Linked DNA regions of Saccharomyces cerevisiae S288C. The protein of the gene in region 3 purifies or fractionates together with the protein of the main gene of each other region. This does not show direct contact. Each region holds a gene or a part of one and is shown on either strand. Other genes may lie near its edges.

Evidence for each region.
Region 1: the proteins of NAM8 (region 3) and YHC1 purify together in Saccharomyces cerevisiae (affinity purification with mass spectrometry; 5 studies listed by BioGRID). This does not show direct contact.
Region 2: the proteins of NAM8 (region 3) and SNU71 purify together in Saccharomyces cerevisiae (affinity purification with mass spectrometry; 8 studies listed by BioGRID). This does not show direct contact.
Region 4: the proteins of NAM8 (region 3) and PRP39 purify together in Saccharomyces cerevisiae (affinity purification with mass spectrometry; 7 studies listed by BioGRID). This does not show direct contact.

The regions. Positions count from the first base shown.
Region 1 is NC_001144.5:724,191-727,316, forward strand, and holds YHC1 (Yhc1p), read right to left. Parts: upstream 1,227-3,126; coding exon 531-1,226; downstream 1-530. Other genes in the region: YLR297W (uncharacterized protein), read left to right, coding at 1-243; ECM38 (gamma-glutamyltransferase), read left to right, coding at 1,879-3,126. UniProt on the Saccharomyces cerevisiae protein: Component of the spliceosomal U1 snRNP, which is essential for recognition of the pre-mRNA 5' splice-site and the subsequent assembly of the spliceosome.
Region 2 is NC_001139.9:512,607-516,986, forward strand, and holds SNU71 (Snu71p), read left to right. Parts: upstream 1-1,947; coding exon 1,948-3,810; downstream 3,811-4,380. Other genes in the region: nicotinamide-nucleotide adenylyltransferase NMA2, read left to right, coding at 1-126; MCY1 (putative cysteine synthase), read left to right, coding at 553-1,734; MSB2 (Msb2p), read left to right, coding at 4,337-4,380. UniProt on the Saccharomyces cerevisiae protein: Component of the U1 snRNP particle, which recognizes and binds the 5'-splice site of pre-mRNA. Together with other non-snRNP factors, U1 snRNP forms the spliceosomal commitment complex, that targets pre-mRNA to the splicing pathway.
Region 3 is NC_001140.6:276,532-280,286, reverse strand, and holds NAM8 (Nam8p), read right to left. Parts: upstream 2,135-3,755; coding exon 563-2,134; downstream 1-562. Other genes in the region: YHR086W-A (uncharacterized protein), read right to left, coding at 1-56; IPI1 (Ipi1p), read right to left, coding at 2,519-3,523. UniProt on the Saccharomyces cerevisiae protein: Component of the U1 small nuclear ribonucleoprotein complex (U1 snRNP) involved in the initiation of meiotic recombination. Involved in the formation of DSBs at recombination hot-spots through meiosis-specific splicing of REC107 pre-mRNA.
Region 4 is NC_001145.3:179,900-183,874, reverse strand, and holds PRP39 (Prp39p), read right to left. Parts: upstream 2,402-3,975; coding exon 512-2,401; downstream 1-511. Other genes in the region: pheromone-regulated K(+) transporter PRM6, read left to right, coding at 2,800-3,858. UniProt on the Saccharomyces cerevisiae protein: Function prior to stable branch point recognition by the U1 snRNP particle to facilitate or stabilize the U1 snRNP/5'-splice site interaction. Has a direct role in the assembly or function of a catalytically active spliceosome.

The DNA.
Region 1 (3,126 bases), on a different chromosome or scaffold from region 3:
GCAAGCGGAGATGTGCACACACTCGTTTCTGGGACCCCGGATCTCTCAAATTTTAACCTCGATAATGAACCACTGGAAAACATACTCGCTGTTTTCATAATATCTTTTATTATTGTAGTGGTTGGAGTTTTACTACTTGGGTTGATTGGCATGATATTCATATCTCTCCGTTCAGGCAGCAGTAATGATAAGAAACTACAGTCCAACGATGAAGAAAAGCAAGCACTTGCTGAAAAAGCATGAAATAAAAATAGATATAATAGATGGCACCGCTCTTCACGCCCGAAAGTTGGACATTTTAAATTTTAATTCTCATGATAGTAACGATCGTGCACATTCAATTAATTATCGCATACCAAACATTTTTTTTCCTTTTTCAATTCAACTAATCTCAATTTTTTAATTTTCCTTTTTTTATTTCCTTTTTTTTTATTCTCATCATACCATTTTCATTCGTTGTTGATATCTCTATTGTTTTTTTTGGCAAAATATAGTCTACATATAATATTTAATAATCTAATCTGATAGCGTTAATTTCCATACCGCCTCCTTTTATATCCGTTGGCACTCGACGGTTTCCGTATGCCGTCGGAATGCATCCGCTTCTTGGACTCCTTGATCGTGGTTTGCAGTATATCTACACTGTAAAATATAGAAGTTTTTGGAATGGTGTTACTCCATTGTGATAATATCTTTGGGGGTTCTAGCTTCTTTGGGTTATTCAACCTAGGAAATGGATTGCTCTCGCACGTCTCATCTCTGGATCTTGAAGTTTGCTTGAAGGAATGGTGTGCAGATTTTTCATTGGCTCTTTGGGGTAATTTGCTGGCTTTAACCAAATCTCCTATATCAAACCTGTTAGCATCCACAAATACTTTGGAATATCCTGGTGAGCCATCGTATAACAATTTCAAGGTATCTATTGAGGTTTGTGCCAGTTCTTTTTGGTTCATTTTCTTCACATGCATGATGTGTCTTTTCTCCTTATTTGAAAGGCATGTAACTTTTAGCGTCTCATTTTGACTACTGTTTTCTCTTTCTTTCCTGCCTCTTTTTCCAATGTGGCGTCTTTTATGATTATGTTTATTAATAATGTCTCTTGCTTTGTTCCTATAATAGTCAGCTGTTATACGAAGGTGATTCTTACCGACCAAGTGCGATTTACGAACGCTCAACGTGTCATGGGTCAAATACGAATGACAGTATTCACAATAGTATCTCGTCATTGCCTATCTCTTTCCTCTCCGTTACTTGAGCACCTTCATCGCCTACACTAGGAGCTCATATTATATCTTCAGTATAGCAAGAATATTTTCTGTTATCCTTAACGCTTACCCGCCTATGTACCTTGACACTTGCGGAAATCTAGTGTTCAATGATAAGGTACTGTGTGGAACATATGAAAGTGAAAAGAGTTTGAACCGTTTATTATCTCTATACAAGTGTCTCTATTCACATATAAAAGAGTGAAAATAAAAATAACTTTTAAGATTTTATTACCTACATGAGATTAGAAAAATCATAACTATATTACTCAGCGGCTGTGCCTGTTGTTGATCAAAAGAAAAGATCCGCCCCTTCGAACGTCTTAGTGCCGCCTTTTGCCCGCTTATCAATTTTCTCTGAGGGAACATAACGGCATTTATCTATTCGACTTCCAAATCTACATACACGTATATAGATACATATATATATGTGTGTGTGCGCCTGTGTGTACTAGCACTTCTCAATATTATAATTCTTCCGTAAAGTTCGATCGTGACTTCCTGTTGCACAGTTATCTTAAATAATAGAATAAAAAGCTAACGCAGATTCAAGTGGGGCGTTGTCAGGCACACAAAAAGACAAGACAAAAAGTAGCGTACTAGACTTACAGTTATGCTGTTGTGTAATAGAAAAGTCCCCAAGACTTTAAATACCTGTTTTATACTGCATATATTCACTCTGTTAACACTGGGTGTGTTAGTGTCCGGAATGCCGTCAAAAATGGTATCATTCGCCTCTCAGGAGACTTTGCAGAGAATAAATAATCTCCTTCGAGGGTCTGCCAATCGAGATGTTGACATTATTGCAGAATATTTGAAAAAAGACGACGATGATGATGGCGGCGATAAGGATCACCATAACATCGATATTGACCCTTTACCTCGCCGTCCTAGTTTAACGCCTGATAGGCAACTTCTAAAAGTCGGTTTGCATGGTGCTATAAGTTCAGATTTAGAAGTCTGTAGTAATTTGACTATAAATGAGGTACTCCTGAAATTTCCCGGTTCTAACGCTGCAGACGCTGCAGTAACACAAGCTCTTTGTAAGGGTATGGTGAATTTTTTTAATAGTGGGATTGGAGGTGGTGGCTACGTAGTTTTTTCTGGCAAAGACGATGAAGATCATCTATCCATTGATTTTAGAGAAAAAGCACCCATGGATTCACATAAGTTCATGTTCGAAAACTGCTCTCTATGCTCAAAAATAGGGGGTCTTGCTGTCGGTGTTCCAGGTGAATTGATGGGTCTCTATCGCCTCTTTAAAGAAAGAGGTAGCGGCCAAGTTGATTGGCGTGATCTAATTGAACCAGTCGCAAAGCTGGGAAGCGTGGGTTGGCAAATAGGCGAAGCACTCGGTGCCACTTTAGAACTTTATGAGGATGTTTTCCTGACATTGAAGGAAGATTGGTCGTTTGTATTGAATTCTACCCATGACGGTGTTTTGAAAGAAGGCGATTGGATCAAGAGGCCGGCACTATCTAACATGCTAATGGAACTGGCTAAAAATGGTTCCGTGGCCCCATTTTATGACCCCGATCACTGGATTGCAAAATCCATGATTGATACTGTCGCAAAATACAATGGAATAATGAACTTGCAGGATGTTTCATCGTATGATGTTCATGTTACTAAACCACTGTCCATGAAAATTAGGAAGGGCGCCAATTTCATCCCTGATAACGATATGACCGTATTAACAAGTAGCGGCTCAAGTTCCGGGGCTGCACTACTTGCGGCGTTAAGGATAATGGATAATTTCCAGAATCAAGAAGGGGGCGATTATGAAAAAGAAACTACCTATCATTTGCTTGAAAGCATGAAATGGATGGCAAGCGCAAGAAGCAGGTTAGGCGATTTTGAA
Region 2 (4,380 bases), on a different chromosome or scaffold from region 3:
TTCATCAGACGTGGAATGTCAGTTCAATATCTTCTTCCAAACTCTGTCATCCGTTACATCCAAGAGTATAATCTATACATTAATCAAAGTGAACCGGTCAAGCAGGTCTTGGATAGCAAAGAGTGAGTTTATTACAACTCTGATACTGCAGCAGTTCAAATTTACCACTTTCCTCTTCAAGGTGCATAGAAAAAAAGTTCCTGGATGCACGATTTAAAATGTTTACAGCAGAGCAACAATCATGTGAACAATGTCAAACATTTATTTTAACACTTAATAATTATAATATAACCACACCAGCGGTAAGTTTCATAAGGAAAACCTTTCAGACAAACATTCCAGTGAATCGTATACGTAAATCAGCAAAATTAGCTTATAAAATACAGAATCCGAAGATACTTGATCTACTCGCGTTACTATTAATGCGGGTAATGATCTATATTGAATTTTGCACGTCTATAGTAACTTAAAAGTCTTGTAATATTTGAAGTAACAATGCCGTATAATACTGCATAATAGCCCTATCAATCGGAATATACCAAAACATCCTTTATGTCCTGTTCTCAAAATAAGACTTCTGTCAGTCTGGCCTGGCGTGAATGCATATCCATCGCTTCCGTCCTAATTGGCGCGTATGCATCATACAAATACTATAAGCTGTTCAAAACACGCGATATTCCACGTCCAAAAGAAGGCGTTGAAGAACTCATAGGAAACACTCCTCTGGTTAAGATCAGATCTCTTACCAAGGCTACTGGAGTTAACATTTACGCTAAGTTGGAGTTATGCAACCCAGCAGGAAGTGCTAAGGATAGAGTGGCTTTAAACATCATAAAGACGGCTGAGGAATTAGGCGAGCTCGTCAGAGGTGAACCTGGCTGGGTATTTGAAGGAACAAGTGGGTCGACTGGTATCTCTATAGCAGTGGTCTGTAATGCGTTGGGTTATAGGGCACACATTTCTTTGCCCGATGACACATCGCTAGAAAAATTGGCATTACTAGAAAGCCTCGGTGCTACTGTTAATAAGGTTAAGCCCGCTAGTATTGTCGATCCAAACCAATACGTAAATGCCGCCAAAAAGGCATGTAATGAACTAAAGAAGAGTGGTAATGGAATAAGAGCAGTTTTTGCCGATCAGTTCGAAAACGAAGCCAACTGGAAAGTACATTACCAGACCACAGGCCCAGAAATTGCCCATCAAACTAAGGGAAATATTGACGCATTCATTGCTGGCTGCGGTACTGGTGGCACCATAACTGGTGTGGCAAAATTCTTAAAGGAAAGAGCAAAGATACCTTGCCATGTCGTTCTAGCGGATCCACAAGGATCTGGCTTTTATAATAGAGTCAACTATGGCGTGATGTATGACTATGTAGAGAAGGAAGGTACTAGAAGAAGGCATCAAGTTGACACTATCGTAGAAGGGATTGGGTTAAACAGAATCACTCATAATTTTCATATGGGCGAAAAGTTTATTGATGAATCAATACGAGTCAACGATAATCAAGCCATTAGAATGGCAAAATACCTATCGGTAAACGACGGGCTATTCGTGGGGAGTAGTACAGCTATTAATGCGGTAGCCGCTATTCAGGTTGCAAAAACGCTTCCTCACGGCTCAAACATTGTGATTATTGCATGCGACAGCGGTTCAAGACACCTAAGTAAATTCTGGAAAGAAGCTAAAGAAATCGATCACGACGTGTCATTAGAAGAAGTAATAAATATCTAACATAGATGTATAAATCAGTACTGAGTTATCTTCTATTAAATTGTAGGAACAAATATAAAAAAGCAGTTTTCGCTGCTACATTTTTTGCTACTTTCCGTGGTAATGATGCCCGCTAAAAAGTGCAAAAGTAATTAGATAGATCAAGAACAAAAACAGACCAGGACCAAAATCAAGCTCATAAAAGTTCCTTAAGAGTACGTCGATTTACAGAACATGAGGGATATTGTATTTGTATCACCGCAGCTGTATTTGTCATCACAGGAGGGTTGGAAAAGTGATTCTGCCAAAAGTGGGTTCATCCCTATCCTCAAAAATGATCTACAACGTTTTCAGGACTCATTAAAACATATAGTTGACGCCAGAAACAGCTTATCAGAGACACTGCTAAATAGCAACGATGATGGGAGTATACACAATTCTGACCAGAATACTGGTTTGAATAAAGACAAAGAGGCTTCAATAGCAGATAACAATAGTGCTAACAAGTGCGCCACAAGCTCTTCCCGTTACCAAGAGCTCAAACAATTTCTTCCCATTTCCTTAGACCAACAGATTCATACAGTATCTTTACAAGGTGTCTCTTCATCATTTTCTCGCGGACAGATAGAATCATTGCTAGACCACTGTTTGAATTTAGCGTTGACTGAAACTCAAAGCAATTCCGCATTGAAAGTAGAAGCTTGGTCTTCTTTTTCTTCGTTTTTAGATACCCAGGACATTTTTATAAGATTCAGTAAGGTTGATGAAGATGAGGCATTTGTTAATACGCTGAACTACTGCAAAGCCTTATTCGCGTTTATTAGAAAGCTACATGAGGATTTCAAGATTGAGTTACACTTGGATTTGAACACAAAAGAATATGTCGAAGACCGAACAGGAACTATACCGAGTGTTAAGCCAGAAAAGGCTAGCGAATTTTATTCTGTTTTCAAAAACATTGAAGATCAAACAGACGAAAGAAATTCAAAGAAAGAACAGTTGGATGACTCTTCCACACAATACAAAGTGGATACAAACACTTTAAGTGATTTGCCATCGGATGCTTTGGACCAATTGTGCAAGGATATAATAGAATTTAGGACAAAAGTTGTCAGTATAGAGAAAGAAAAAAAAATGAAAAGTACGTACGAGGAAAGTAGGCGTCAAAGACACCAAATGCAAAAAGTTTTTGATCAAATAAGGAAAAACCACTCAGGAGCCAAAGGGAGCGCCAATACAGAGGAGGAGGATACTAATATGGAAGATGAAGATGAGGAGGATGACACTGAAGACGACCTTGCCTTAGAGAAGAGAAAAGAAGAAAGAGACCTGGAAGAATCAAATCGTAGATATGAGGATATGTTACACCAATTACATTCCAATACAGAGCCTAAGATAAAATCCATTAGGGCTGATATCATGAGTGCTGAAAACTATGAGGAACATTTGGAGAAAAATCGCTCATTATATTTGAAGGAGCTATTACACCTTGCCAACGACGTTCATTACGACCACCATAGATCTTTCAAGGAGCAAGAGGAAAGAAGGGACGAAGAGGATAGAGCTAAAAATGGAAATGCAAAGGAACTGGCGCCTATACAACTATCGGATGGTAAGGCCATATCTGCAGGGAAGGCTGCCGCCATCACCCTTCCTGAAGGCACTGTGAAGAGCGAGAACTATAACGCGGACAAGAATGTGTCTGAGAGCTCAGAACACGTCAAGATCAAATTCGACTTTAAGAAGGCTATTGATCACTCAGTTGAAAGCTCTAGCGAAGACGAGGGATACAGAGAGAGCGAGCTACCTCCAACAAAACCCTCCGAGAGAAGCGCGGCAGAGGACCGTTTGCCATTTACAGCAGATGAACTGAACATAAGACTAACTAATCTGAAGGAATCGCGCTACGTGGACGAACTGGTGCGTGAATTCCTCGGCGTCTACGAGGACGAGCTGGTGGAATACATTCTTGAGAACATCCGCGTGAACCAGAGCAAACAGGCCCTTTTAAATGAGCTAAGGGAGACTTTCGACGAGGACGGGGAAACGATAGCTGATAGACTGTGGAGTCGTAAAGAATTTCGCTTGGGGACCTGAAACAGAAGGGCCTTGGCGCGCGTCCCAAAAGGGAAAGGCTCGCTCTGAAACAGGCGAAGACACGAAAACAAATTACCGTTTCGGGGCGTTTTGCAGCAAGTGGCTAGACACGTCGGGCGTTGCCAGATCAAAATAGCACCAGTGGGTGTTTTTTTACTATCTCATCTTCGTGCTGATATATATAACTTTTATACATTTCCATAGTACCAAGTTCTTTATTTCCTGCATTTTTACATTTATAATAGATTACCAAAACTATTCGACCTCACCAAGGGACCCCATAATATTGCTAAAATAATCTTACCTGTTTTTTACCATTTTTTTCTTTTTTTCCAGAAGTAATAAGCTCTCTCTTAGAAGAACTAAAAGCATCTGACTTCGGCTCGTTCCAACCGACCAAAATATTTGTGAAAATATTATTCATTCCTTTAACGACTTATTGTGTATTCTGTTCATCTCTAGCTGGCTTCCACCTCGTTTCCTATTTTTATTGACTTTTCATTAGGCTTCCTAATTATACCCATCTATGCAGTTTCCATTCGCTTGTCTCCTATCGACCCTTGTAATTAG
Region 3 (3,755 bases):
GTAGGAATTCGCCGTGCCCCTATACAGAGACAACATGAATAGAGAGACAAACGCATTACGTAGTCTTGGAAGATAGCGCAACGGGAAATCTTGACACAGTAAGAAACATTTACAGTATAATAATACTAAAAATAAAATTAAGATACATCAATATAAAATTTTCGACAAATACAGAAAAGAACAGAGAAGAAAAAATGAAGGTGACGCAAAAAAGGAATTGACAGGCCGTAATGAGTAGTGATGGAAAGAAGGTAAATGGAAGTAATAAAGGAAAATCATAAACATGCTTAAAAGCGTACAATCTTGAATTGAATTAAGAATAACAATAACCTTGAAAGAAATGAAAATCAAAAGGAAAAACGCAACTATAACGATACAAAAAAGACTTAATAAAAGGACATGGAATCTTGAAAACGATAAAAAGCAATGAAAAAAAGAAAATAAAGCGCTGTTATATCACCGTCAGCCTAAGACCAAATACAATTTAACACTGAAGTAAAGAAAATACCAAGAAAGAAAAAGGGCCAAAAGGAAAACAAACATTTTTATATACACGTGTGGCTCAAGCAAACATAAAACCATTACTGCCTTGTTCCAAACGGTTTAACATTGCATTAGTGCTGTTAACAACCGCTTCGCTTCCTTGCATGATAACTTGTTGGCCACCCGTGCCTGAGAGGTCCATAGAGCTAGTGTCAGCCAGTAAACTAGTAGCTTGCGTATTTGTAGCATTATTATTACTGTAGAAACTGAAATTGTTCGAGCCTAATCCATTCGCATTAGCGTATGGATTAGAATAATTCAGAATTTGACATCCAGGAAGCATCGTGGATGAAACATTATTATCTGGCAGAACAGGTGCTTCACACGTACTGGATGGAATGTATCCGTAGTTAGGTTGCTGTAAACCTGGTTGCTGTTGTTGAACCTGTAAAGAGTTACTTAACATGGCTTGCTGAAGCAACGCTGTTTGCTTAGCAGACCTGCCCCAAGACAGTCTAACTCTTGAATTTGCAATGGGGAACCCTTGCATCCCAGCAATGGCAGCCTCAGCCGATAGCCGATCAACATACTGGACAAACCCGCAACATTTGCCTACCGGAATTTTGACATAGACTATCGTGCCAAAAGGTTGGAAATAAGCACGTAATTCGTCTTCAGTCACCAGTGATGACAATCCTCCGATAAACACAGTGGTGTTATTCGGATCAGTGAAGTGGTTTAAAGACGGCTGCTGTTGGACTGGATAAATGAATTGAGACATATGGTTTCTCTTAAAGCCCATGTTATTATTTCCATTGCTTAAAAATGATTGACCCTTGGAAAGAAATCTCGAGTCTACATTTTCGTTGTTTAGTGACGAAGAACTACGGTTGTAATCGTTGTTACCGCTGACATGCTGCTGCTGACCAGATGTGGGTCCTACTTTTATGGCTCTACCATTTAAAAATACGCCTTGCATTTCTGACAGAGCTAACTGTTGTTCATCAGAATTGGTAAACTTTACAAAACCGTAGCCCTTAGACATCCCGGTAACCTGGTCGTGCACAATTTTGGCATGAGAAGTAGAAGCATATCTGTTAATGAAAAGTTCAAATAATTGAGACTCTGTAACATTTGGTGCTAAGTCTCCAACAAATATAGAACAGTTGTTACCACTCTTCACGTTGTTAAGAGAATTGTTGCTGTTTGAATATGAGGATGTAGCCCAGTTTAATTTCAATTTTTTATTTGGAAAATTGGGTATAAGCATACCATTCTTTAAAAGTGCATTTGCTGCATGAGTAGATGAGGGAAAATCAACAAAGCAATATCCTTGATTATTCTTTGGACCCATTGATGATCTCGACCCATTATTAAGCGTATTATTCCACATCATCCGGACATTAATATTCGCTTCTCCCAGAGATGCCCAAATTTGCCTAACGGTATTCTTATCCCATGTAGGATCCAAGTCGCCCATGTACAATTGGTTACCAGTGGTCCCTAAACTCACGTTAGATGCGCCTTGAAGACTCAATACGCTTGTACTGCTATTGTTGGTTTCTGAGGAAATAGTATTAGTGTACGGAGATGAGTCGTTTCTTACCAGATTACCCCTGCTAGGATAATATGTTGTTTGTTTATAGGACATTTGTACCCGCAATGTATTAGGAACTTTTGACGGGATATAGACACGAACTTAATCGACTAAGCTGATAAAATGAAGGGAAAGTAACCTAAGGGCAAAGAATATGGTTCGGTGTTTGACTACCCGAATAAGGTCACGTCGATTTAAATGTTGTCACTAAAGGAAAGCTCTGATATAAGGATGTACGCACACACAATTTCACCACCAACTCGAATCTGAATAATCCCTGAAAAGCCCTTCCCTTTGTGCCAATAGTATTTGAAAAATAAACAAACTTAGATCTACTTAAAAAAAATCCAAGATTCTGCATTTTTCGCCCTGCCTCTCCTGAGGGTAACAAAAAAAAAAGTACAATCTATCAATTATATATTGTATTCTTATGAAACGTCAATCAAAGATTTTTGCAAGCAGCGTTTTAAGCTTGTTTGCACTTTTACCACATTCACCACCTTCCTTGATAATTACTTCGATTTTCTTACGTACTATAGGCAGGAATTGTTCGATAAATACCGCTTTTCGAGTATCGATATCCTGTGTTGCCAATGACAGTAGTGTGGCATTTACTCCACTGGAGGTAGCATCCTGAACTTTCAATTCTCTGGTAAATAGTTTCAAGTGCTCAAACGGCTGCGGATAATCTGGGATTAAATATGGGTTTCGTAGCGTACCGCTGTCCTCTGTAGTCTCTGCCGTGTCTCCGTCGCTTCTAGCGCGTTCATCCTGACATCCGTATTCAACAAGAGTGTACAGAGCATTGAGATGAATAGTGACATATTTGGCGTTTCGCTTCTTCGTTTGCACTATGCTAGCGCTATCATTTTTCCCTACCTGTCCCCAACCGAGCACTCCAAAGACACCGTTCAAAAGTTTTACCCAAGATTTCCTAACCACTTCATCTCCGCAATACTTCAACAGATGAGAGAGAAATTTAGTAGAATCTGCTTGAATTTGTGTAACAATATGTGTCATTGCCATGTTAATGTATAAGACAAAAATGTTGCAGTGCAATTTTAAAATCTCCGCATCGTGACTACCTATTTCATCTACGAGATCAATAAGTCCCTGACGTACTTGCTGCGATTCATCGCAAATCAACGGTATACTTTGAGTAAGTAATGGTGTCATAAGTCGAGATTTTATTATAGACGGTATTGACTTTTGGAATGTTGTTAATGTTTCCTTTCTCACATTGATGTTATGATGCTTTAAGAGCGTTAGCCGTTTTGTTAAATCATGTGGATTTTGGTCTAAATGTTGATTTCTAATAGAAATAGTCTTGGAAACGAAAGATGTATCGGTAGCATTCCTTGCTTTTTCCTTTGGCTTACCAACTTTTAACTTTTTTCTCAAAAAATCCTGCTTTTTTTGCTTCTGCTTTCTTGATTTTGTCATTTATTAACTTTGTTTATCTCTGCACCTTTTTCTTTTTTGATTACAACTTTTAACTATTATGAACATCGATGCCTTCACCTTATAATTAGGAATCTCGCTTTTTCTGGTGGAAAAATTTTCCGATGGCCTTTGCCATTCTGAAAAATAAAAGGCAATACTACGTTGGTATCAAAATAGTGGATAAACACATATTGTAATACTAAGCGATCATGTAGTTTTGGAGGTCATGTTA
Region 4 (3,975 bases), on a different chromosome or scaffold from region 3:
ATATTTAATGTTTAGAAGTTGTTTTACATATTTGGACGTTTTCAAAATATCCTGACGATAGAAACAATCATTAATAGTCTTTACATATAAACAATATTTATCAAATTTTTCTGATTATATAACCATCAAAAAACACAGAAAAGGCCTGTCATTTCGATTTACGTAAACTAAATTAATAATAAATTTATTTCATCTACCTGTTTTACTCTTCATATTATTTGATTTCTGCGATTTAATAGAATCTTACCAACCTCTAATGTTTTTTGAATATATTTTAATTTAACAGGTTCAATAGTTACTTTTTTATTATAAATAATAACTTAAAATATTACATAAACTATTATTTATATTATCATACAATAATTTATTATATAATTATTTATTAACTCTACCAATATAGAATAAAACATTTTCAATAATAAATTATAAACAAGTAAATATTTGGGTACTCCTTCGGGGTCCGGCCGAGTAAATTATTATTTTAAATATAATTTATGATTTATGATTAATTTCATTTACCTTCCTTAAGAAATTCTTCAGTGTATAGATCATTAATCTTGACCTGATTAATTTTCTCCAAGTTTCTAAAATTAGGCAAACTGATGGGCTTTTGAATCAAAGTTCCTGAATTGCACTCAATTATACTGTTGGATATCTGCGGTCTTTCTGTCGTTATGCCGATGTGACCAGCCTCCTTCCATTCCGTCTTTTTATGCCAATCTACATTTGCTGTAGTATTTAATACTGGATCGTATTTTGGATTCGACATTTTCAGCTCAGGGTACAAGATAGGGTCAAATGTATTTGAATCTATAATGGAGGATTCATACGTGACGATATTTGAATGAGTTAAATAGAAAGTCTTATAATCCGTCAAAATATCATTCATTACTGTAGTCGGCAAGTATATTTCTACCCCAAGCTCCCTAATGAATTTATTCAGCTTGGTAAAATTTACATTACTCTTTTCAAATTTGTAGTAAGTTAACCAGAACGGTACAGAATTTTTAATGAGGATGTTTTTTTGATAAAGGTTGAAATATTTCCTTGTTTGCATATTATTTTTAAGTACAAGCCATGTAGTTTTTATCAATTCTACCACGACTATGCTTAAGTTTTTATCATTTATTAAGGTCTGTAAATGCACCTTGGCATCAATTTGATTATTGATGTAGTTGGTGATTGATGTCTCTAGGATTTTAGTAAACGATGTTTGTTTCTCTAGAATTTCCTTTGGCGATTGATCTAAGGAATTCTTAAAAGAATGTCTTTTCAACATACAAAGGTACTCCGTCATAAGTAATATGTCGTTGGGCCAAATCTTTAAATAACGCGATACTGTCTCATTGAATATGTTATTGAATAAGGTATTATTTGACCGATATTTTCTTTTCAAAAACCTAAGAAAATCATACCTCAAAGTTTTGAAATCCAGTGGTAAGAACGTATTGGCTTTTTGGTATATATCCACTACCACTTCATCGGATATATTTTTCTTTGTTAGCCACTTAATATACATCATCCACGTATTTTCATGGTAAAGACAAGGAATCAAACATCTGTCAAAAACGGACATTACGAATTCTTTATCCAAGGATTTTGAAGGATCCGTCACAAATTTTAAATATCGCGACCAATTTTCCAAATCATCATTTAACACTTGGCCCAGGTTGAAGAAGGGCTGTTTGATTTTCGATTCGAACTGCCAAATTTCATTTACTGTTGTTTGTGTTTTTCGTAAAACTATATCAATATTCCTTGTTGTCTTCAAATTTTTTTCATTTAAAAACTTCTTGTAAGATGTGAAAAACCGCGCATACTGATGTAGAGGAACTTCAATAATGTACTCGTATATTCTTTGAACGTTATGCCAATTCTTCTGCCCAACTTCAAATTCTATAAACTTGTCCCAAAAAGGGTGTGATAGAAACTGCTTGCCAATAAGATCCTTTGCAATTTCAAAATTATTCCTAATAAAATCCGTTTCGTTCGGGTTATTAACACACAACACATTCAAATAATCACACCATAACTCCAGAGAAGTTGGGAACCATTTGACCGAGGTGGCCAGAACAGCAATCGATTTCTTGAGACCAAATAACTGGTACTCAATAGTAGCAAACCTCTTCCAAAATCCAAACAATAAAGGGTACTTACGCAATATTTGCCATAAAATAGTTTCCAAGGCCAATTTGATTGAATCATTTGGATTGCCATATTTAACCACTGTTTGCTCTATAACATCTACCATTTGGGTCAACGAAGAAATATCTGACCAGTCTAAACCACGATATGCTTGTACTAATGCTGTGTTGTCTTGAAGGAACTGGGTGTCCAAACCTCGAAGGGCATCAGGCCTAGGCTCAATATCTTCTATTGTAAAATTTGTTTCATCTGGCATAACGAAAGACGGATTGCCAAGTATCCAATAGCAGTAAGGGCCAAAACTTTTTGTTGAACAAAGAAATGGCTGTGGAAGGCGCGTTTTTACTTTAGGACTTTGAAAACTTTCTTGCGTAAATTCTGTTTAAGTCTGAAACTTTCAACTCTGTATTAAATTTGTTTTAAGATGTGCGACGGCGACGTAAAATGGTAAAGAAAAAGAAAATGAATGATAGTAAATCATACTGAAAACGAATGATCTGAAACAATAAAAAAAGATATTTGTATATAAATTATTCAGCCATGCTCAAACCTCCAGATTAAAAATCAATAATGGATTAATTGAAAGCCCTGGAGCTGGCATTTTTTACCACATTGTCTAAGAGGGAAAGGAAAATGACAACAAAGCGCTAAATAATGGAATCAAGTTTACAAAAATTGAAATTCCAGGATATTGACATAAATCTTATTCCTACTGCGAAGTGGACCACAAAATTACAGTATATTCTATACACCTGGTGTCAGTCGATACTACATGTGGCCATGTTTTTTTCTGATATATACACGTGTATTAAATTACTGGCATTTAACACATGGTCGAACAATATCATCCAACCATTCTTGGAATTCCGTATTTCAAAATGGTTGTTTAGCGGATGCATATTATGCTCCTCATTAATATTAATTTGGGAGTTGGTAATTGGATTGAGAGTGTATAGGAAGAAAGAGATTACATCGAACTACATGAATGGCATTAGCAGATTAATAAATTGCTTGTTCAATTTCAAAAAGTATCAAATTTTCGAACTAATAGTGCTGACTGATGAGAAAAAATTCAGTAAGTGGTTATTCTTTTCATATTTTGAAATCAGTGGATGTTTGAGGCTATTGTTCGGTGACTCTCCAAGGCAAATAATCAACGGATTAACTTTGTGGTCAGTTTTACTGACAGTTTCGAATGAGACCAGTAGCGGAACCCATAGTACTCAAAGCCTAGGTAATTTAGATGACCTAAATGGAATAATAAACAAGATAAAACATATTGCTAAGACAAATTACGAAGAAAGTGTGATCTTGTCCTTCATGTTGTTCTCGTTTATCATATGGGTAATTTTAATAAGCAAATTAATTCTAAGCATAATAATATTCATCATTTTTATACGTCCGAGATTTTTGTCTAGTAAAAGGAAGGTTAAGGGGTATGAATTGAAACTACGAAAGTATGTGTCTAAAGTCATTGACGAGAATTTAAGTAGAACTGTCTACGAATTGGGAATATTGATAGATGATGAGGAAGAAGGGACCATATGTGGTGACAACAAAACGCAAAAAAAATTCGATTATGATAGTCCTGATTATGGCGACGAAAGCACAATACCGAGTTACTACTGCTACTCGGATGTAGAAACGTACGAAAGAGTATATACGCCCATAAAGGCATATTTCCCCCAGAAATACAAACATAAATACATATAAATGTAAACGAAGCTTTTTTTGACTGCAAAAATGCATTAAAAGTAAATCGATTCTCATTTATTGTATATATATTGTATATATTGTATGAAATATTTATAATGATAATGATAGTAACAA